5 linked regions of the Macaca mulatta genome follow. The protein of the gene in region 3 purifies or fractionates together with the protein of the main gene of each other region. This does not show direct contact. Links are inferred from orthologs where the notes say so. Each region holds a gene or a part of one and is shown on either strand. Other genes may lie near its edges.

What was found.
Region 1: the proteins of GSK3A (region 3) and AXIN2 purify together in Homo sapiens (affinity purification with mass spectrometry; 3 studies listed by BioGRID and IntAct, with this or other methods). This does not show direct contact. The link is inferred for Macaca mulatta from reciprocal best matches to the Homo sapiens genes GSK3A and AXIN2.
Region 2: the proteins of GSK3A (region 3) and GSKIP purify together in Homo sapiens (affinity purification with mass spectrometry; 7 studies listed by BioGRID and IntAct, with this or other methods). This does not show direct contact. The link is inferred for Macaca mulatta from reciprocal best matches to the Homo sapiens genes GSK3A and GSKIP.
Region 4: the proteins of GSK3A (region 3) and FRAT1 purify together in Homo sapiens (affinity purification with mass spectrometry; 4 studies listed by BioGRID and IntAct, with this or other methods). This does not show direct contact. The link is inferred for Macaca mulatta from reciprocal best matches to the Homo sapiens genes GSK3A and FRAT1.
Region 5: the proteins of GSK3A (region 3) and PRUNE1 purify together in Homo sapiens (affinity purification with mass spectrometry; 3 studies listed by BioGRID and IntAct, with this or other methods). This does not show direct contact. The link is inferred for Macaca mulatta from reciprocal best matches to the Homo sapiens genes GSK3A and PRUNE1.

What each region holds. Positions count from the first base shown.
Region 1 is NC_133421.1:75,316,479-75,320,567, reverse strand, and holds the start of AXIN2 (axin-2), read left to right. Parts: upstream 1-1,289; 5' UTR 1,290-1,517; intron 1,518-2,033; exon of another isoform or gene 2,034-2,173; intron 2,174-2,214; exon of another isoform or gene 2,215-2,487; intron 2,488-2,634; exon of another isoform or gene 2,635-3,499; intron 3,500-4,089. UniProt on the Homo sapiens protein: Inhibitor of the Wnt signaling pathway. Down-regulates beta-catenin. Probably facilitate the phosphorylation of beta-catenin and APC by GSK3B.
Region 2 is NC_133412.1:169,670,436-169,674,415, forward strand, and holds the start of GSKIP (GSK3B-interacting protein), read left to right. Parts: upstream 1-1,180; 5' UTR 1,181-1,231; intron 1,232-3,980. Other genes in the region: ATG2B (autophagy-related protein 2 homolog B), read right to left, coding at 477-638. UniProt on the Homo sapiens protein: A-kinase anchoring protein for GSK3B and PKA that regulates or facilitates their kinase activity towards their targets.
Region 3 is NC_133424.1:53,295,304-53,299,343, reverse strand, and holds the start of GSK3A (glycogen synthase kinase-3 alpha), read left to right. Parts: upstream 1-1,240; 5' UTR 1,241-1,298; coding exon 1,299-1,581; intron 1,582-3,630; coding exon 3,631-3,818; intron 3,819-4,040. UniProt on the Homo sapiens protein: Constitutively active protein kinase that acts as a negative regulator in the hormonal control of glucose homeostasis, Wnt signaling and regulation of transcription factors and microtubules, by phosphorylating and inactivating glycogen synthase (GYS1 or GYS2), CTNNB1/beta-catenin, APC and AXIN1.
Region 4 is NC_133414.1:109,362,608-109,366,809, forward strand, and holds FRAT1 (proto-oncogene FRAT1), read left to right. Parts: upstream 1-1,402; 5' UTR 1,403-1,638; coding exon 1,639-2,478; 3' UTR 2,479-4,028; downstream 4,029-4,202. UniProt on the Homo sapiens protein: Positively regulates the Wnt signaling pathway by stabilizing beta-catenin through the association with GSK-3. May play a role in tumor progression and collaborate with PIM1 and MYC in lymphomagenesis.
Region 5 is NC_133406.1:116,095,805-116,099,854, reverse strand, and holds the start of PRUNE1 (exopolyphosphatase PRUNE1), read left to right. Parts: upstream 1-1,250; 5' UTR 1,251-1,422; coding exon 1,423-1,461; intron 1,462-3,852; exon of another isoform or gene 3,853-4,050. UniProt on the Homo sapiens protein: Phosphodiesterase (PDE) that has higher activity toward cAMP than cGMP, as substrate. Plays a role in cell proliferation, migration and differentiation, and acts as a negative regulator of NME1. Plays a role in the regulation of neurogenesis.

The sequences.
Region 1 (4,089 bases), on a different chromosome or scaffold from region 3:
TTGTTTGTTTTTGTTTTTGTTTTTAATAGGGAGTCTTGCTTTGTCACCCAGCCTGCCGTGCAGTGGCGCCATCTTGGCTCACTGCAACCCCCCACCTCCTAGGTTCAAGTGATTATCCTGCCTCAGCCTCCCAAGTAGCTGGGATTACAGGCACGCGCCACCACACTCGGCTGATCTTTGTATTTTTAGTAGAGACGGGGTTTCACCATGTTGGCCGGGCTGGTCTCGAACTCCTGACCTCAGGTGATCCTCCAGCCTGGGCCTCCCAAAATGTTGGGATTACAGGCGTGAGCCACCATGCCCGGCCCTTTATGTTTTTTAAAAGGAAGAAAAGTTAATTATTCGCTCATAAGGGATCATTCTATAGCAGCAGATGAATAAATACATAATGCTCTGGGTTTGTGACATACTTTCTCATTTTAAGGGAGAAGGTTGTGTGTGCCTTATAAACGTTTTGGGGAAATGTGGGAGAAATTCAAAGGTGACAATGGGGTGAGGAGTTTTCGATACATTAAAACGGCATGCCTTGTCGTTTGGAGTGGGAAAAAAGATATTCCATATCGGTTTAATATGTAACATATGGCAGAAGAGGGGACTTCGGAAGAGTAACGGGTATGCAGTTGTTTGGCAGAGATGGCCAATGTGTGCCGCTTTTAGGGTCTTATGGCCAGCAGGTTAGGAAGCTGGACTTAGGTCTTCAGGGCACTGAGGTATGCCTCCTAACTGGTGTTAGCACTCAGGCCTATACTGGCGGATTCACACCCCACCTTCACACATGTACAAACGCAATTCATCCACCAACTGCAGTCCTATATTTACCCGAACTCAGATAGATGCACGTGCACAATCGCGCACAGGCATGCACACGCCTCCAGCGGCTGGCCCCGAGTCCGCCCTATGACAGCGGGCCAGCCAACCCCAGGGCCAGAACTCCCTTTATAAAGTCCTCCAAGCCCAAATTCCCAGGGAAACTTGAATAGAAGTAGAAAAGTGTTTGATGATAGAAAAAAAAAAATCTGCTTGCTTGCAGTTCTTGCGATGGCCATAATGCTACAAGAAACTGTTGCATTCCAGAGCGGGGGAGAGCGAGGGCAGGCAGGGGGTGGAGGCGGGAGCAAAGAGGCCGGAGAACTTGAAAGAAGAAATCAGAACTCGGGCTGAGAACGCCCTCCGGGCCGCGGGGGGCCGGCAGGGGGCGGAGGAGAAGCAGGGGAAGGGTTAACGCGGGAGCGGAGCGTGCGGCGGGGGCGGACCGGGGCGGGGCGGGGCGGGAGCGGGGCGCTGTCCCTTTAAGGCGGGCGGCGCGGGCCGGCCGAGCGCGGCTGTGATTGGCGCGGCGGGATCACTGGCTCCGCGAGCCCGGCCCGGGGGAGTCGGCTGGAGCCGGCTGCGCTTTGATAAGGTCCTGGCAACTCAGTAACAGCCCGAGAGCCGGGAAATAAAAATAACCCCTCAGAGAGATGGATTTCGGGGCCGCCCGGCGGCCGAGGCGCCCGCCGAAGGCCCTGCTGTAAAAGGTGGGGGTGGAGGCTCGGCCCCAGCTGAGCCGCTTCAAAGAAAGCCCCCCTCGGACAGGGGGCGAGGTCGCGCCGAGCCGCGGCGTGGGCGCTGGGGGCGGGAGGGGGCCCGGCCAGGCGGAGGCCGGCCCTAGAGGGGGTCGCGGGCGGGGCGGCCCTGAGGAGCAGCGGCGGGGCTGTGGGGGGCGGCCCGGGGCGCGGCCGGCGCGTACCTCCCTTTCAGGACCGTGCGCTCGGCTCGCGCCTTTGAAGTGCACAGTTAAATCCACAGCGCAGTTTTTGTTGGAAGCGCCCGGAGGACATTTGGTGCGCCGAGTGACTGCTGGAAACAGGACCTGCGTTGAAAGCCGGGCCGGGCGGGGGCCGCAGGGGCCGGGGACGGCCGCGGCGGGGGCGGAGGCCCGCTCGGATCTTTTGCATAAAAGGGGCGGCGGGGCGCGCCGCTCCCCCTCCCCGGCCGGTGGCTCTCGCTCTGATCCCGGGATTGTTGTTTCCCGCACCCCCTCCCCCGCCGCGCGACTCCCCATGTTCCCCGACGCCGCAGCCGGCCCGGGGGGGCCTGGGGCTGCCGCCGCGAGCCGAGCCGGGGGCCGGGGCCGGGCCCCTGCCAGGGGCGCCTGCGAGGTCTCGCCGCGGATCGCGCGCGGGGATCAATGGTGAGTGCCGAGGCCGAGGCAGCCGGGCGGCCCGCGCGCTTTGATGTGCGGGGCGGCCCTTTGAAGTTGGCAGGCCGGCTATTTTGGGGCGCGCTAGGGGCAGGCGCTGAGGGGAGCGGCGGACCCCAGCGCCCAGCCTTCCCGGGGGACTTGGCCGGGCAGCCCCGCGCGCCCTGCGCCGGAGCCCCCTCCCCAGCGCGGGGACCGGGTTGGCGGGGGGCCGGGAGAGGAGACTTCTCCGAGTGGCTGCAGTGGCGGGGGCGGAGAGCGGGCAGATACCCCCCGGGGGTCGCGTCGCTGTCGCGGTTATGGATGTGAGTCGGGGTGTGAGTGCGCGCGGGAGTGCCTTTGAGAGGTGGGATGAAAGGGTAGCGGCGCCCCCCGCTTGCCCTCCCCCCGCCCCCCGCCTCTTCTCCGCCCCATCCTCTCCTCCTACTTCTCTCCCCCTCCCCTTCTCCCCTCCCTGCTGCGGGTCCGCGCTAAGGGGCCCACAGAGCTGGCGGAGGCTCAGTCTGCGCGCAGGACCGGCCCAAGTCCGGGGCGCCCGCGTCCCTCGCGTCCCTTCTCCCCGCCCGGGCCCCGCGCCCGTGGCCGCCCCGGCCCCTTTTGCGGAGAGGCAAGGACTCCGCGCGTCGCCATTTCTGTACTAGGCTGCTGCTTTCTGTGCTTTTTCTGCGGGCGCCTCTGCGAGCGGCGGCGCTGGGGACCGACCCCCCGCCCGGGCACGGGACGCTGCTGGCGCGTCCCGGGGCTCCGGCCTCGAGGTGTGCCCGCCGGGGCTCTGGAGGCGTTCGGTTGCATTCGGGCCGGGGGACCGGGCCGGAGGGGCTCGGAGGACATGAGAGCCCGGCCTCGGCGGCCTTCGTCTTCCAGGTAACGGGGCCGCCCCACCTCCCTGCCGCCCGGGTAGCGCGGTGCTAACGGCAGCCCCACTACTCCGTGGGCCACGCCGCCCAGCCCCGCGGCTCGAAGCTTCGGTCGGGGTCAGCGTGCACCCATCCCAGACCCGGGGTCCCTGGCTCCTTGCCCGGGGTTGCACCCCGTCCCCCGGTCCGCCCCTACCCTTCCTAGTTTGATCCTTTCCGTGCTAGGAAAAGCAGCTTGTTTATTGGTTAGATAAGACTTTTTTCTTTTGGAAAAAAGACAGGCTTGAAATCAGTAGAGTTTGGGATTCTTGACACAGGCAGTAGTGGCGTGAGATGGCTGGTGATCCAGTTTTGTAGGTTTCGCGGCTCGCGGAGGTGGGTTGGGGGCACGGGGGCGACGGTTCCGAGTCCGAGGCTTCTCAGCTCTCTCTCAAAGTTTGAAGATCAAAGTTTCCACTGAGTGAGTTGGTTTCTGGTTTGGGGGAGGTCAGGGAAGACAGAGGTGTTGACTGAGCTGGATTCTTGGCGGGGGTAGGGGGCGCGCAGCGAACACTCACATCTGAGTTGGGGAGGGGGCGTTTGCGTGCTGAATCTGGGAGTCCGGGAGCCCAATCCGCCTATGCTGGGCGGGCTTCTCTCGGACGAGGATCTTCTGAATTTTTAAGGAGTGGGAAGAGGGAGCGCAGAGGGAGGGGGCGGGTGGGGAGAATGGGAACCAGATGCCGGGGAAGGGCACGTTTGGAGCTCGAGTTATCTGTGCAGAGCCGAGTGGGGAAAATTTACCGAAATTGGTTTCACCTGCACACAGCCTAGCGGCTGGGAGTGCGCCTTTTTGGAGTTGATGGTATCGGGGGAGGGGAAAGTAGGGGAAGCGAGGCGCGGGCTGAGCTGCCCTGCGTGCGCCCTGGCCGAGTGGGTTTTTGGAAGGTTGTGTCTTACACCTCCGATGTCCCCCTGCCGCCCCCAGCACTTGCCCTCCTCTCACCTTCCCCGCCTCTCCCAACAGCTCCCTCCCACCCCCAACCCCGAAAAGTGTGCAGGGAGCTCAGA
Region 2 (3,980 bases), on a different chromosome or scaffold from region 3:
CACGATGACAAACAAGGCAAACATGGTGTGCAAGTGGCCAACCCAAAACCAATAACTAGGGATTCTGACATCCAGAGGTCCTCTTCATCCTTAATCGTTCCAGAATGTCATCGCACAAGGCAGGGTTTGTTTGCCACAAAACCCTGCGGCCCCTCACATCCCAAGGGACAATTCTGGTCACCTCCTCCCACGGACCTATTGAGCCTGCTTCACAGACCCCCCGAAGCACTGACTCAATTATTCCCATAGTGTAGATTCCATTACATCTGTTAAGTTTCCGGAACACGTGATTCAGGAGAGCAAACTTGTTAAACAGATTAAACAACACTCTAACACATTTATCTGAGCCGTGCCACACTCGGGTCCAAACAATTCCCAAGGAGGGAATGACTGTCACCAATCTTGGATGGCACCGGTTCAAAGCGCCCTAAAGAGGGGAGCGAGCCCCGCCCGGCTGGCTGCCCGGCAGCTCTTACCCATTTGTCCAAGGGGACCTGGGCGAGGGACCCGGTGCCTTGGTACAAGTCCAGGCTGAGCTGCTCCAGGCTCAGCTTCTCCTGCAGAAAGTGGCCCAGGTACCTCTGCAGGAGGTACCGGCAGGCCCGCTTCTTGATAGACTCCGAAAACGGCCAAGGCATGGTGACTGCTGGCAGCTGGGCTGACTGCGGCTGCGGGTGGCGCTGGCTCCGGCCTCAGGGTAGCGACTCCGGCTCCAGGCCGCGGCGGGGCCTAAGCCTGGGGCGGCCCCTTCATCGCTGTTTGGCGCCGGGAGTTCCTCAGGGAGACCCCATCGCCGGCGCCGCGCCGCTCGCGCTGGGCCTGGCGGAGGCAAGACGCAGTGGGGTCCTCCTGGCCCCAGGCCAGGGGACTTCCGAGGGAGATCCCAACCGGCTCAGAGAAAGTGCAAGAGAGCGCGAGGGGAGGCGGCACAGGCTGAGGCAGACACCTCCACTGCCGCCGCGCGACGAATTTGTTGTCATCCGCGAGGCGCGTTCCCGGCTGTAGGGACGCTTCCGGCGCGTTCGCGAGACCCAGACTCCCGGCGCGCCGTCGGGCGCTGGCGGAAGTGACACCACACAGGGGGCCGCGGAAGGCGGGCAGAAGGGCGGGAGCTGGAGCAGTTCCGGCTCCGAGGGGGCGGGGCGGGCGAGGGCGGGGAGGGAGGGGGCGGCACCGCCGGTCGGCTCCAGTCGCCTCCGGAGGGAAGAAGCAGAGGACGCCGGGTGCGCAGGTAAGCAGCCGCCGGGCGGGCTGCGGGCGAGGGGCGGCCTCTGACAAGGGCTAGGGGCTCGGGGCGCCGGCGGGCCGTGGGGCCTTCCGGACGGGGACGCGACGCCGCGCAGCGGGCTGGGCCGAGAGGGGCGGCAGGCTGCAGGGGCCCCGCGCCGGTGTTAAGAGGGGTCTGGGGGCTTGTTAAGACCGACCTGGCTCTCCCGGCCCCCCCTCAGACCTCGGCGCCCCAGAAACGCACGCTTGGGGCTCCGCCGTCTCCGCGGGGAGGACTGGAGCCCTTCTTGAACATCCCCGCCCGCCCCCAAGCATTGACCGGTGCCCATTGTCAGCAAGTTCTTCAGCCCCCGCCTCGTTCAGGTATTGTTTCCGAGGCTTCCTCTTCGTTGCCGTTCGCCTGGCGGTTTGCAGAGCGCTTCTCGCATACGCTCGCTTAATCCTGGGTGTGTCATACCAACGATCAGGAAACTTGGGTTTTCGAAGCATCTGTGGGCAAAACTGCATTCCTTGAGAAATGTTGAAGGCTCCTGATCCCGCGGGAACCTGGGTGAAGAACTTGGGCTGTTCTGGTCGTCTGCGCAATCGTATTTCTGCCTTTTGGGAGGCAACTCCTGCAGAGGCGGAGCCGGCTCTTAAGTTAGTCAACCTCGAAAGGCCTGGGTGCCGGTGTTCGATGGCCCAGAAGCCAAATGTCCTGGGTTAGAATCCTGGCACTGACACCTATTAGCCCAGCCACTTTGAGCCGGCCACTGCCCTCCCCGAGTCCACGTTGCCTCCTTTGCCCAGTGTCAGTGGATTAAAATCTTATGTGCATGGATTTATTAGGAAGATTAAATGATATGAGTAGGGCACGAACCTGAACAGAGTCCTGAAACATACAGCTGTTTAATCCCAGTGAATTAAGACGAGCAGTTTAAGGAGTGAAATATTTACTGTCTCAGCAACTTTCATGAATGCCTTGGAAATACTGCCCAAAATGTTGATAGATGGAGAAACATCTGATTCCGCTTTCCACAACCACCTTTTCGTTTTAGAATCAGGGTGCTCTGTATGCAGTTGCTTGGATTGTTGATTCCCCTAATTCCTTGTAGACTTACCCCAAGTATTCTCAGTAACTTAGATTCCCTTGCTCTTCACTCAAAAATTTTGTTAAGGTCTGTTAAATGAACGTCACCACAGTTGATGATGTGAACAGTATCAAGAATCAGGCAGAACCTTCAAGGAGTTTATGTTCTAAAGTGGAAGGTCATTGGGCATGGTGGTGCCTGCTTGTGGTCCCAGCTACTCTGGAGGCTGAGGCGGAAGAATCGCTTGAGCCAAGGAGTTTGAGGCTGCAGAATTGCATTCAGGCTATCCATAGACTGCCTGCAATTTCAAATATCAGAAAGGATCTTACGAGCTACGATTATGCCACTGCACTCCAGCCTGAACCACAGAGCAAGACCCTGTCTCTTTAAAAAATAATAATAAAGTGGAAGTTTGTTCATTTATTCAGTAAATGTTTATTGATTGCATTCTGTGTGCCAAGCACTGTTCTAGGTGCTGGGGATACAGCAGTGAACAGATAAGTCTCTTCCTTCCCGGAACTTACGTTTTATTGAAGGGAGGAGAAACATGCAATCAATGAGTGAATAATATGCTTTGTGGTGATAAGGGCTGTTGGAAAAACAAAAGCATTGTAAAGGGGATGGAGATGGGGAAGAGAGAAGGGACTTGCCATTTTTATATGAGATGGTAAGAGACATTCTCTTATTTAATAAGATTACATTTTAGCAGAAACTTGGAGAAAGCTGGGAAGTGAGGCACACGTATACCTGGAAGAGTTGTTTTCCACGCAAGGGGAACAGCAAGTGCAACGTGCTGTCACAGGAGAATGCTTGATGAGTTTAGGGAACATCAGGAGTGAGTGAAGGAAAAAGTAGAAGCTGGGCAGTTGGGGGCTGGGGGCGCAGAGGAAGCACATCATGTAGGGCCTCCTGGGCCTTTGATAAGAACTTTGGAGCCGGGCACTGTGGCTCACTCCTATAATCCCAGCACTTTGGGAGTCCAAGGCGGGCAGATCACTTGAGGTCAGGGGTTCAAGACTAGCCTGGCCAACATGGTGAGACCCTGTCTCTACCAAAAATATATTAAAAAGTAGTCAGGTGTGGTGGCATGCACCTGTAATCCCAGCTACTTGGGAGGCTGAGGCAGGAGAATCGCTTGAACCCAGGAGGCGGAGGTTGCAGTGAGCGGAGATTATGCCACTTCACTCCAGCCCTCCAGCCTGAGCAACAGAGTGAGACTCTGTCTTTAAAAAAAAAAAAAAAAAAAAAAAGAACTTTGGCCTTTACTCTGGGTGAGGTGGATTTAGGAGAGAAGTGACGTAATATGGCCTCAGTTTCTATGGGATCATGCTAACTGCTATGTTAAGAATAGTCTGGTGTGGAAGTGGGAGGACCAGAGTGAAAACAACAAAACCAGTTAGAAGGATATCGTAGTAGTAATCCAAGGAAAAGATGACAGTGGTTTGGACCAAAATGGTAGCAGTGAAGATGATTAGTTAGAAGCTGTTGGATTCTGGATATATTTTGAAGATAAAACATGTTTGCAAATAATAATTCTAATATTTGCCATAAAAGGAATATAAGCAAGGTGGTGTGAAAAGTCAAAGGTGGGATCTTATCCGGCAATAAATTAGAATAGGCTTTGGAAGGTTTGAAATAGACTTCTGACAAATAGATACGATTTGAACTTCTTTCAGCAGCTAT
Region 3 (4,040 bases):
GGGATCACAGGCGTGAGCCACCGGCACCCAGCCTGAGCCACCGCGCCCGGCCCAGAAATTCTATTTCCGTCTTTTTAATGCTCCATTCAGCTTCCTGGTGCGAACCACATTGCTAGGAAAAGCTAGACTGTATCCGAAGACTAGTTAGTGTTCGGAGAAACCGCCGGGAACTTTGTTTCCCGAATTCTTTGCAGAGTTGCGGTTAGAGAGGGGACATTTTTTCTTTCTTGATCTATGGTCACCTGGAACTTAAAGGTGCTTGGCTCCATTTTCCAGCAGTCCTTGATCGACCTCGCCTCTTTCTTTAAGAAGAACCTGGGGGCGAGGAAGGAGGGGCTGAAACACTTTTAAGTCTCTCCAGGGAACTACTGCAGTCTCTAACCTTTCGCTCCACGCCCCCGATGGTGGCCATTGGACTCCGCTTCCCGACAAGCCTCCGCAAACTGGCCTCACAAAGGGTCAGGTCTGGACTATTCCCCAGCAGGCTTGGAGCTCATGGGCGATCCCGCCCCCTCAGTCAATGGGGAGGATGCCTTGAACTCCATTTCCCAGAACACACCAGGGCTCGCTGTGGCAACTGCACTGAAGCCTTGGTGTTGACTACACTTCCCGGCAGGGACTGCGGCCTAGCGTACCTGGGAAGAGAAGCGCGAAATTTACTCCATTTCCTCTCCCATCTCCGGAATTGCAGTATCCACTTGGGACTTAAGAAACCACCTGGGACTCCATTTCCCGGCGTGCTTTAAGAATCGCTTTACACCTGCAATGCGGTGAGGGCGTGGCGATGACTCCATTTCCCGGCTTGCTTCACGGCCCGAGATCCGCAGGTTCACGCGCGCCGACTCAATTTCCCAGAGCGCACCGGGCTCTGGGACGCACACACAGCCAATAAACTGAGTGAGTGGACTCTGTTTCCCAGCGTGCATCAGGCTCTCTGCTTCCCGAAATACTTCAGGGCTCCCCGTCGTACCGTCGGCAGACAGATTACCCTGGACTCCATTTCCCGACGTATAGCGCGACCCGTCATTCCCGCGGTCTACTCTGAGGCTTTTGTGGACTTCATTTCCCGGCGTGCCACGGGGCTCTCTGTGCGGGCCGAGGGCGGCGACGGCGGCGCGGACGACAGCCGGACTGCATCTCCCGGCGTGCCCCGCGGCGGGCGCTGGGCCGGAGCCGGAGCCCAAACCCGAGCGGCGCGGCCTGGAAGAGGCCAGAGCCCGGGGGAGGCGGCGGCAGCGGCGGCGGCTGGGGCAGCCCGGGGAGCCCGAGCCCCGCGGCCTGGGCCTGTGCTCGGCGCCATGAGCGGCGGCGGGCCTTCGGGAGGCGGCCCTGGGGGCTCGGGCAGGGCGCGGACCAGCTCGTTCGCGGAGCCAGGCGGCGGAGGCGGAGGCGGCGGCGGCGGCCCCGGAGGCTCGGCCTCCGGCCCAGGCGGCACCGGCGGCGGAAAGGCATCTGTCGGGGCCATGGGTGGGGGCGTCGGGGCCTCGAGCTCCGGGGGTGGACCCGGCGGCAGCGGCGGCGGAGGCAGCGGAGGCCCCGGCGCAGGCACTAGCTTCCCGCCGCCCGGGGTGAAGCTGGGCCGTGAGTACTAGCGGCGCCCGTGTAGGGTGGTGATCAGGGTTCCCAAAGCTCCTCAGACATCCATCAGGTTCTTTCATATGCTTAGGTAGGAGCCAGAGGTCACTATGCCTCCCCAAATCGGGGATCTGAGCCCTCTTCCTCCCAGGAAAAGGGGTCTTGGGGTTACCATCTCTTGGAGATCAGAATTACTCTTGGATCAGAATTACTAACACTCAAAGAAACAGGGGTTACAAGTCCCTGTTCTTTCATTATTGAGATCTTGGGTCCTTGAGCCTTAAGAACAGGTATCTGACGTTGCTACTCATTATAATATTGGATCAGAGGTCACAGTCGCTTGCAAATGGGGATTTAGGGTTATTGTCTCCTAAGAGAACAAGAATAAGACCAATCGCGAAAAAGAGGGATCTGCATTCGCTGTCCTTCAGAAGATGAGGATTTGGAGTGAATATCACTTAGAAGCAGGGCTTTGAGGTTACTGTGTTGTGTCCCCAAAGAATAAGGCCAGGCTTGCCAAACCTGGTACTCAGATCACCTTCCCTATTAAAACCAAGACCTGGCATCATTACCCACCCTAAATATTGTTGAGCTGTACCCCCAATGGTGAGAATTAATAGTTACTGCTTCTTAAAGACATTGGGAGTCAGCATATCCTTCAAATCAAGTCCATAGTCCATGTTTTAAAATACATGGCTTGGTGTGTCTCCTTTAACAAAAATGGAATGGAGCAGGGTAGGTCACAGTTTCCTATAAAATATGGATCTAAGGTTATACTTGTTCAATAATTGTTCTAAGGTATGGTGTCATTGGCTCTGAAAAAAATAGTGATGTAGGGTTATCTCCCTCTGAAAGAACATGTCACTGGCCCCTCAAAATGGATTTGGTGGCCGGGCGCGGTGGCTCACGCCTGTAATCCCAGCACTTTGGGAGGCTGAGGCAGGCGGATCACCTGAGGTTCTGTTTGAGACCAGCCTGGACAACTGGTGGAACCCTGTCTTTACTAAAAATACAAAAAATTAGCTGGGCGTGGTGGCGGGCGCCTGTAATCCCAGCTACTCGGGAGGCTGAGGCAGGAGAATCGCTTGAACCCAGCAGGCGGAGGTTGCAGTGAGGCGAGATCGTGCCACTGCACTCCAGCTGGGCAACGAGAGCGAAACTGTGTCTCAAAAAAAAGAAAAGAAAAAAAAAAAGAAAAAATGGATTTGGTTCATCAGTTACTCAAAGGGGTCACTATCCTTTAAGAATGGCACCAAGGTTTGCTACCATTTGAATAATGGGAATTGGAAATTATAGCTTTCCTTCAAAGGACTGAGGCTGGAATAGCCCCTTGATAATAAAGGTCAGGTTCATCATTCTCATAATTTGGTGCTTGTCCATTAGGGACCACCCACATACGGGGAGGAGTCTGGGTCTCTGGACCACTCAGATGAAGAGGTCAGGTCAGTGTTTTTTTCTAACCTCAAAGTACCAAAAAGTGAGGGTCAGGGCACTGGTACATACAGCAGGAGAGGACATTCATTTCTGTCACCAAGAACCAGTGAAGTTACCAGCTCTACAGGGGAGGACTTAGAGGTTAGTATCCTCTAGGCTGTGAGATAGGTTAGTGTTTTCCTGAAGTAGGAGTACCTGAGGGTTACTGCTCCCTTAAGTGGAAGAGGCCAGGTCAAGCTTTCTCCAAAGAGGAGGGGCCAGAGGGCAGTAGATCCAGAGTAGATGGAGTCAACATCTGATGTCTCCCAGTACCAAGACGACCAGTGATCTATTGCTTCCTAGAAGTAGAAATTTGGGGTTGCCAGCCCTTGAAGCAGAGAGATTTAGGTATCAATATCCTCCCATGTGGAGGGGGGGCAGGATTTAAGGTTCCCAGAAAGGAAGAGGGTTTGAAAAGTCACTGGGAAGGTTCCAGCATCCACCTTTCCTCAAAGAGGAGGAGGGAACAAAGAGGTCCCCAACGAGCTTCCTGCAGAGATTTCCCTTCCTCCTACAGCCCCAGGATGGGGTGATGCGCAGACAGGATGGGTCAGTGGATCGTGTATCCCCTTTGTTCCCCAGGTGACAGCGGGAAGGTGACCACAGTGGTAGCCACTCTAGGCCAAGGTCCAGAGCGCTCCCAAGAGGTGGCTTACACAGACATCAAAGTGATTGGCAATGGCTCATTTGGGGTCGTGTACCAGGCACGGCTGGCAGAGACCAGGGAACTGGTCGCCATCAAGAAGGTTCTCCAGGACAAGAGGTTCAAGGTAGCTTGGGCGGGATGGGGACAGGGAGGTTTGGGGACTTGGTGTGACTGGTGGGAGAACCCCAGCCAGAGAGCTGGAGGCTTAGGTTTCAGAGCCATGGACCAGAAGAGAAAGTGGGGAAAAGAGGAAATGAGACGTGGGGAAAAGAGGAAATGAGATGGGAAATGTGGATCCCAGGAGAGCCCAGAGCTTTTACTGGGCATTTGCTCAATGTAAGTGCTT
Region 4 (4,202 bases), on a different chromosome or scaffold from region 3:
CATGTTACTGCATGCAGCAATATTCAGTCCTCTTTGTTGCTGAACTGTTTTCTGTCATCATCCTGTGTGAATGTACAATAGGTTGTTTGTCTATTCACCTGTTGATGAACACTTGGGCCATTTCACTTTTGGCTTTTATGAATAAAACTCCTTTGATGTGAGCCAACATCGTGCCACTGCACTCCAGCCTGGGTGAAAGAAGGAGATCTGTCTCAATTAAAAAAAAAAAAAAAAAAAAAAAAAAAAAAGGCAGGGTGCAGTGGCTCACGCCTGTAATCCCAGCACTTTGGGAGGCCGAGGCAGGTGGATCACCTGAGGTCGGGAGTTTGGGACCAGCCTGACCAACATGGAGAAACCTCATTTCTACTAAAAATACAAAATTAGCCGGGCATGGTGATACATGCCGGTAATCCAGCTACTCAGGAGGCTGAGGCAGGAGACTTGCTTGAACCCAGGAGGTGGAGGTTGTGGCAACAAGAGCGAAACTCTGTCTCAAAAAAAAAAAAAAAACGACTAGCAACTAGCAACCTAGGCCGGGCACAGTGGCTCACGTCTGTAATCCCAGCACTTTGGGAGGCTGAGGCAGGTGGATCACCTGAGGTCAGGAGTTCGAGACCAGCCTGGCCAACATGGTGAAACCCCGTCTCTACTAAAAATACAAAAATTAGCCGGCGTGGTGGTGGGCGCCTGTAATTCCAGCTACTCGGGAGGCTGAGGCAGGAGATTTGCTTGAACCCAGGAGGCGGAGGTTGTAGTGAGTGGAGATGAAACCACTGCACTCCAGCCTGGGCGACAGAGCGAGACTCCCTCTCAAAAACAAACAAACAAAAAAGACTAGCAACCTCCTCCTCTCCAGCAATGCCAACCCCATCCAGGCCCCCATCCGCCCAGGATCTCGATCAAGAAACATTAATCCGTGGCCTTTCTTTGCCATTTCCAACTCTGCCACCTCCATCGCACGACAAGGTCCCCTTCTTCCTTCCCATTCCCGTCAGTTTCCCTAATCTCCGTACAAATCCCTAGCCTGACTCCCTTTCCTTTCCATCCTCACCAGACACCCGCATGCCGGACCTCAAAAGCGCAAACGCTAAAACCCGGTTGAGTTGACGCACGGAGAGAAGGGGTGTGTGGGTCGGTGTGTGTGTGTTACTGTGTGTGTGTGCTTGTGTGTGGAAGAAACCAACAAGGTCCACGCTGGTGTCCATTTCTGGAAATGCCAACCGCGCCCGACTGCGGGAGCCAGGATCAGGTCCCCAGGGCGCCCTTGCAGACAGCACCCTGAGCGAAGGAGCTCAGAAGGCAGTCCGGCTTCACCCAGACCCCCAGTCCCGCAGAAGCCCCGTCCCCCAGCGGCACAGCACCCCCTCCCCGGCGCGGTGGTAGGGCCCAGCGCGACGTCACCCATTGTTTACAAATCAAGCCGAGCCGGCAGGATTCCGGCTCCCGCGGCTGCAGGCGCGCGGCTGGAGTGACTGGCGGGCTCCGGCTTCCGCGTCCGCCACGGCCCCTGCCCCGGCCCCGGCCACGGCCCCGGCATCGTCTTCAGCTCCGCGCCCGCTCCGCCGCGGCCCACCGCACCCGCCGGCAGTCGAGCCCCCAGCGACGCCCGCACAGCTCCGGGTGCCCGGACAGGGGGCCATGCCTTGCCGGAGGGAGGAGGAAGAGGAAGCTGGCGAGGAGGCGGAGGGGGAGGAAGAGGAGGAGGACAGCTTCCTCCTGCTGCAGCAGTCGGTGGCGCTGGGCAGCTCGGGCGAGGTGGACCGGCTGGTGGCCCAGATCGGCGAGACGCTGCAGCTGGACGCGGCGCAGGACAGCCCGGCCTCGCCGTGCGCACCCCCGGGGGCGCCGCTGCGGGCCCCGGGACCCCTGGCTGCGGCGGTGCCGGCGGACAAGGCCAGGCCCCCTGCGGTGCCGCTGCTGCTGCCTCCCGCGTCGGCTGAGACTGTGGGCCCGGCGCCCCCTGGGGTCCTGCGCTGCGCCCTGGGGGACCGCGGCCGCGTGCGGGGCCGCGCTGCGCCCTACTGCGTGGCGGAGCTCGCCACAGGCCCCAGCGCGCTGTGCCCACTGCCCCCTCAGGCCGACTTCGATGGGCCTCCGGGTGCTGGCAAGCAGGGCGTCCCGCAGCCGCTGTCGGGTCCGTGCCGGCGAGGATGGCTCCGGGGCGCCGCCGCCTCCCGCCGCCTGCAGCAGCGACGCGGGTCCCAACCAGAAACCCGCACAGGCGACGACGACCCGCACCGGCTCCTGCAGCAGCTAGTGCTCTCTGGAAACCTCATCAAGGAGGCCGTGCGAAGGCTTCATTCGCGACGGCTGCAGTTACGTGCAAAGCTTCCCCAACGCCCGCTCCTGGGACCTCTGTCGGCCCCGGTGCATGAACCCCCTTCACCTCGCAGCCCTCGCGCGGCCTGCAGTGACCCTGGCGCCTCCGGGAGGGCGCAGCTCAGAACTGGCGACGGCGTTCTTATCCCTGGCAGCTAACACGCCCGGGGTGCCCACAGCGCCAGCCTCAGACTAGAGGGCAAGGGGTTCCCCTGAGGGCTGCAATTCTGCTCAGGCTGGTGGAGAACTCTGGCTTTTGGAAGTGGGAGAAAAAAGCTAAAGACGAGGAACAGAAAAATCGCGAATGTTTCGCGGGTAACTGGGGTTGAGGGCCAAAATATTTGAAATGCAGAACTCGGCCCTATTTAAGGCGGATTTTACAGAGCGCACCCCAAGCTTACAAGTTAGTAGGATTCCTTATTTGGAGTGACCCGACCCAGCCGCGAAGCGTGCAGTTCCGCGCAGCCTCTCAGTGCCCTCCAGCCCCGCGACCATGTGGCCACAATCCACGCTTCTCCGGATCGCGGCGCGCCGGAACTACTGAGGATGATGCCAGTTACTTGCTTTACCTTTTCAGGGCTGGCTCCTGATCCACTTTGGGGGAGGGGAACATGAGTAGATAATTTCAGGGTGCACCCCAATCTGCCAGACTTGAATATTTTCAACACTTAAAAAAACCATCTTGTGTCTTTGGAGGTGCTGCTTAATATCAAACACGCGGTGCCATGAAGGGACCCTTTGAGGGTTGAATAGGAGTTAACCCCTGCGCTCTCTTTGCAACTGTCTGCCTTTCTCAGAGTGGTGGGGGAAAGGCTGTACGACACGGGTGGGGACAGGAGATGGGGGCGGGGGGTATTGAATGGTGATGGAAGGGTAGAGAGGCGCGGAGTGAACCCCACGCGCTCTCTAAAGTGTATTTTCACAGCCGGCCTGCCTCTCCTCGGGTTCAAGGTCACTGTTTCCTGGGCACGCACTGGGTTGCGGGACGGAGTAGCCGGATTCTGCCCGTGCTCGGAGAAGAGCGCAGTGTTTTTTGCAAGTGCTGGAGTCTCCTGAGGACACGCGCGCCGCCGCCACCGCGGGTGTGGGAAAGCGCGGACGTGCTGGGCGTCTGCTTCCCTAGGCGACCACCGCCCCTGGCCGCGCTCCGGGCTTTCACGGAAACTCCCGAGACGGAGCCCCGGGTTCCTCCTCTCCCACTTGGCTCTGCTGTCCTACTCAAGCGGGTGGCTCTGGGATCCTGGGGGCCTGGGTTGGGGGCTAGGGAGACGCCATGTGATGGGCACTCCAGGGACACACAGCCTAGCACAGCAGCTTATAATGGGCTCTCTGGGGCCATTTGCAATAACAGCTGCAATTCCCTGGATAGCGGAGTTGATTTCCTCCCTCTGCCCCTCCCCCAGCCATGCCAGCTGGCCTTTGTAAGTGCAGGAAACCGAGTAGAAAATGTGACCCTCCAAATGGAGAAGCTGCAGGCTTTGCCATTGTGAACCATGGTGAAGTGCTTGGAACATACTGTTCACTCACTCTAAAGGCGCTGAGACTGTGCTGTTGTTCTCGTTTTTATAGTCAATGGCTTGTTCATCATCCAGATGTGGCTACTGACATATCTACACTTCGCACCGGAGTGTCTGGAATTGTGGCTATCCTGATTATAGGATTTTAACTTAACTGAAATGCCTGCTTTGAATAAATGTGTTGGGTTTTTTGTTTGGTTTTATTTTATACTTGCCATCGGTGAAAAAGATGTACAGAACACATTTCTCTGATCTCCATAAACATGAAAACACTTGAAATCCCTGTCAGCCTGGCTTGCGGATGGTAATTAGAGCGCCTTTGTGTCTGAGCAGCTCACTAGCTAGACAAGGTCTCCGCAGCTGGGT
Region 5 (4,050 bases), on a different chromosome or scaffold from region 3:
CCCAGGCTCTGGGCGCGATGGCTGACGCCTGTAATCCCAGCACTTTGGGAAGCTGAGGCGGGCAAATCACGAGGTCAAGAGATTAAGACCAACCTGGCCAACATAGTGAAACCCCATCTCTACTAAAAATACAAAAATTAGCAGGGCGTGGTGGCACGCACCTGTAGCCCCAGCTACTCGGGAGGCTGAGGCAGGAGAATCACTTGAACCCGGGAGGCAGAGGTTGCAGTGAGCCAACATCCTGCCACTGCACTCCAGCCTGATGACAGAGCAAGACTCCGTCTGAAGAAGAAGAGGAAGAAGAAAAAACTGGCAGAGCAGGCAGGCGATCCAACACCCCTGTGCTCTGGATCGTGGTTCCACCACAGGCCTCTCATCAGTCACCTCCTCTCGATTTACAGCTGGGGAAGCAGGAAAAGCTGGTGTGAGGCTGATGGTAGGAAATAAAGCGATAGATAAATAAATGAGGGAATTTTTGATGATGAGTGTCCATTTATTTACAGTACTTGCACTACCCTGCGGCTGCAAAGTGGCAGTTAAGGGAGGCTGGAACCTAACTCTACATTCTGAAGGGTTCCCTAAAACTCTATGTACAGGGCCGCCACAGGATGAAACTTCAAGCAACTCTAAAGGCTGAAAGAGCAGTTGGAACAATTAGGGTGGCAGAGAGCAAAAAGTCAAGGTTACAACCGTCCAAGAAAGGAAGGAGAAGATATTTGCGGAGGCTGTAGGAAAAAAACAGGCTACAGAGTTGCAAAGGGAGAAGCAGCAGGAGTTGGCAGGAGACTGTAGGTGTTAGGTAAACAAGAGGGGTCAAAGATTATTCTAATGTTCTCCTAACATGAACAACCACAAAACTGGTTGAGATTGAATCAGTTTGGTAAAAGGCAGAATTTCGGGAAAGAAGATCTGTTTTGCCAAGTGTCATTTAAAATGTCAACCGGATGCTCGGTGTGATATATGGAAAGATGTTATACTTAGCCTGATCTGAGAGGGAAAGTTCAGATGCCACAATAATGGGTTACTGTGACACATACACATTTGTTTACCAAACAACGGATCCCTCAGAAAACGCTCCTTCCCTCGGTAGCTAGGGACATTGCGGAGCCGCAGGACTACGTTTCCCACGTCGCCCCACGCCACACCCACTTGGCCTCTCCGGAAAGACGTCCCAGGAGCCTCTGGGCGTAGAGCCCCGCCTCCGCCGCTGGGGGAGGGGCGACGCCAAGCTCGGGAGCACCCGGTTACGCACTTCCTCCCGGGGTCGGAGGCCGATTAGCCGTGTGGCGGGTTCGAGTCCCGCCTCCTGACTCTGGCCTCTAGCCCCTGAGTCCCGGGCGGGGTGCATTCGCCGGGGAAACCTCTCCTCGACCACGGGCACCTCTCCTCGACCAGGGGCGACGGCGTACTTTGGGCTTCATCATGGAGGACTACCTTCAGGATTGTCGAGCTGCTCTACAGGTAACCGATCCCTGTATGTGACTGTAAGGAATGGAGCACGGGGTCCAGGAAGGACGAAGACGTGGGATCTGGGGAGCCTCGACGGTCCGTGTGGAGGGAACACTGAGTTGTGGGGAGGGGGGTTGGGGCCTGATCAGGTTTGGGGCATGAGGAGCGAGGAGCGAGAAGCCAGCTTAGGAGCGTGAGAATGCTGCTTGCTTAGTCTCCCGGTTTTTGGCTCCCCGCCTTTGGGGTCCGCCCGAGAGCTGGGAGAAGTCTTGGGTCTGAATCCTGCATTTGAGCCTCTGCTTGCTGTCATCTCGGTCAGTTCCGTCAAAAGGACCAGGACTGTGCGACCGCCAGCCGAGCCCCGCGAGGTGTGTTTATTCTTTTCTCCCCGCCCCTCTTTGAGTTCTCCGCTTCCAAGGCCTCGCTTGGCCCACTGGCCTCCAGGTGAACCTCGCGGGTGTGGAGGGAACCGGTGCTCACGGCTTTATTTCCTCTGAATGGCGGTTTCTGTCTGGCGGGCTGAACTCATTTCTAAGTTAGAAGTAGTCACGGTATTTTACTTTAAGTCAGTGTTTTTAAACCAAGCATACATAATCCATCAGGCATATTTGTTGACCCACAACCAGCATTCCTTTGCCTCCAGGTTTCTCCTTTGGCCTTAACGCACACACATTACATAAAAATTCTCCACTTGGAAGGGATAAGCACAAAGTGTGTTTAGAATCAAAACCATAAATATGACTACTGAATGCTTTGTGGCTTATTTTTGGTGCTCTCTGAGCCAGTTGGACTCACCCAGCCATGCTGAGCCGTCATGAGGCATTAGGCTGTTATCCCCAGTTAGCAGCAAAAAGCTAACCAGAGACAGACTCCAGGAGGTCACCCGGCCCCTCTACTTTGAGTTATATTGCCCTGAAGAAACCTAGACAGATGGCTTGCTGAGCTTTCCTTTTTAGATATCGGAAACTCAACAAATTCCCCTGGGGGACAGATTCTGTTCTTTAACAAATCCTGAAAGTCACTTAATTCCTGCTGCAGACTCAGCTGCTGGAATAAATGAATTGTCTTCATATTGAATTGGGGAGAAGGTCCATTTTAACACCAATTACATAGACATTTTCCTTGTGAAAAACAAATTTGGGGAGTTATTTCAATGCATAAGGCCATTTGGAACCAATCCCTTTTTGTTACGTCTGATTCCACCACAGGACTAATGTAGAGTTTTGGGGGCACCATTCTAAGTGCTAAACAGTTGGATTCCCCCCCCCCAGTAACCCAAATGACTGGTCTCTTCCACCAAGTGGTAAAGTGCCCTTGGACCTGAAACCTCACTAAATAGTATTTCTTTGCATGCATCTATTCTCCAACATATATCCTCCAGAGCCTCCCCCCACCCCCAGGTTAGCAGTATATTCTCTATTTTTATTTTGTATTTGTTTATTTATTTTGAGCCAGGGTCTCACTCTGTTGCCCTGGCTGGAGTGCAATGGTGTGATCACCTCCCCGGCTCAAGTGATCCTCCCCCCGGCTCAAGTGATCCTCCCACCTCAGCCTCCCGAAAAAGCTGCGACTATAGGCAGTGCCACCATGCAGGGCTAATTTTTTGTATTTTTGTAGAGACAGGGTCTCGCCATGCTGCCCAATCTGGTCTCGAACTCCTGGACTCAAACAATCCCTCTGGCTTGGCTTCCCAAAGTGCTGGAATTATAGGTGTAAGCCACTGTACCCAGCCCTAATAGTATATTCTCTACAGCAATATGAAGCTGGAAAAATACTTGATTTTTCCAATATTGCTGGAATCCTGACCTTTCTCTACCTGCATTCATCCCCCAAGGAGCAAGATCTAGCTCTTCTTTCAAACTTGTGAACTTGTGAAAGTTGAGATTGTGTCTTAGAGCTTTCATCATCACATAGCCTCTCCAGGGCCTGGAGAAATGAGAAAATTAGACTCTAGGAAGGTTAACAGGTGAACTGATGGCAAGACATACTGGTAGATGCCAACAATTTAGATTGCTTTAATTTTTTTTTTTTTTTTTTTTTTTGAGATGAACTCTCACTGTCGCCCAGGCTGGAGTACAGTGGTGCAATCTTGGCTCACTGCAACCTCCACTTCCTGAATTCAAGCGATTCTTCTGCCTCAGCCTCCTGAGTAGCTGGGATTACAAGCTTGCGCTACCATGCCTGGATAATTTTTGTATTTTTAGTAGAGACAGGGTTTCACCATGTTGGCCAGGCTGGTCTCGAACTCCTGACCTCAAGTGATCTGCCTGCCTTGGTCTCCCAAAGTGCTGGGATTACAGGCATGAGCCACCACATCCAGCCTAGATTGCTTTAAATTATAGAAGTAGTAAATGTGTACTTTATGAATAAATTTAAATACCAAAGGGATATGGAATGAAAAAGATAAAGATCATTTTTCTTCTCTCCTCTCCATCCAGTTCTCCAGAGGACACCCTGTTAAGTTTCTTGTGTAAAGAGAGAGAGATGATTTAGACAGATACATTCTTAAGTTTGAATGTTCCTGTTAAACTACAGTTTAATTATAACTTTCAGAAAATCATGAATGCTCTTCTTTGCACAGAATAAAGACAGCTGGTAATC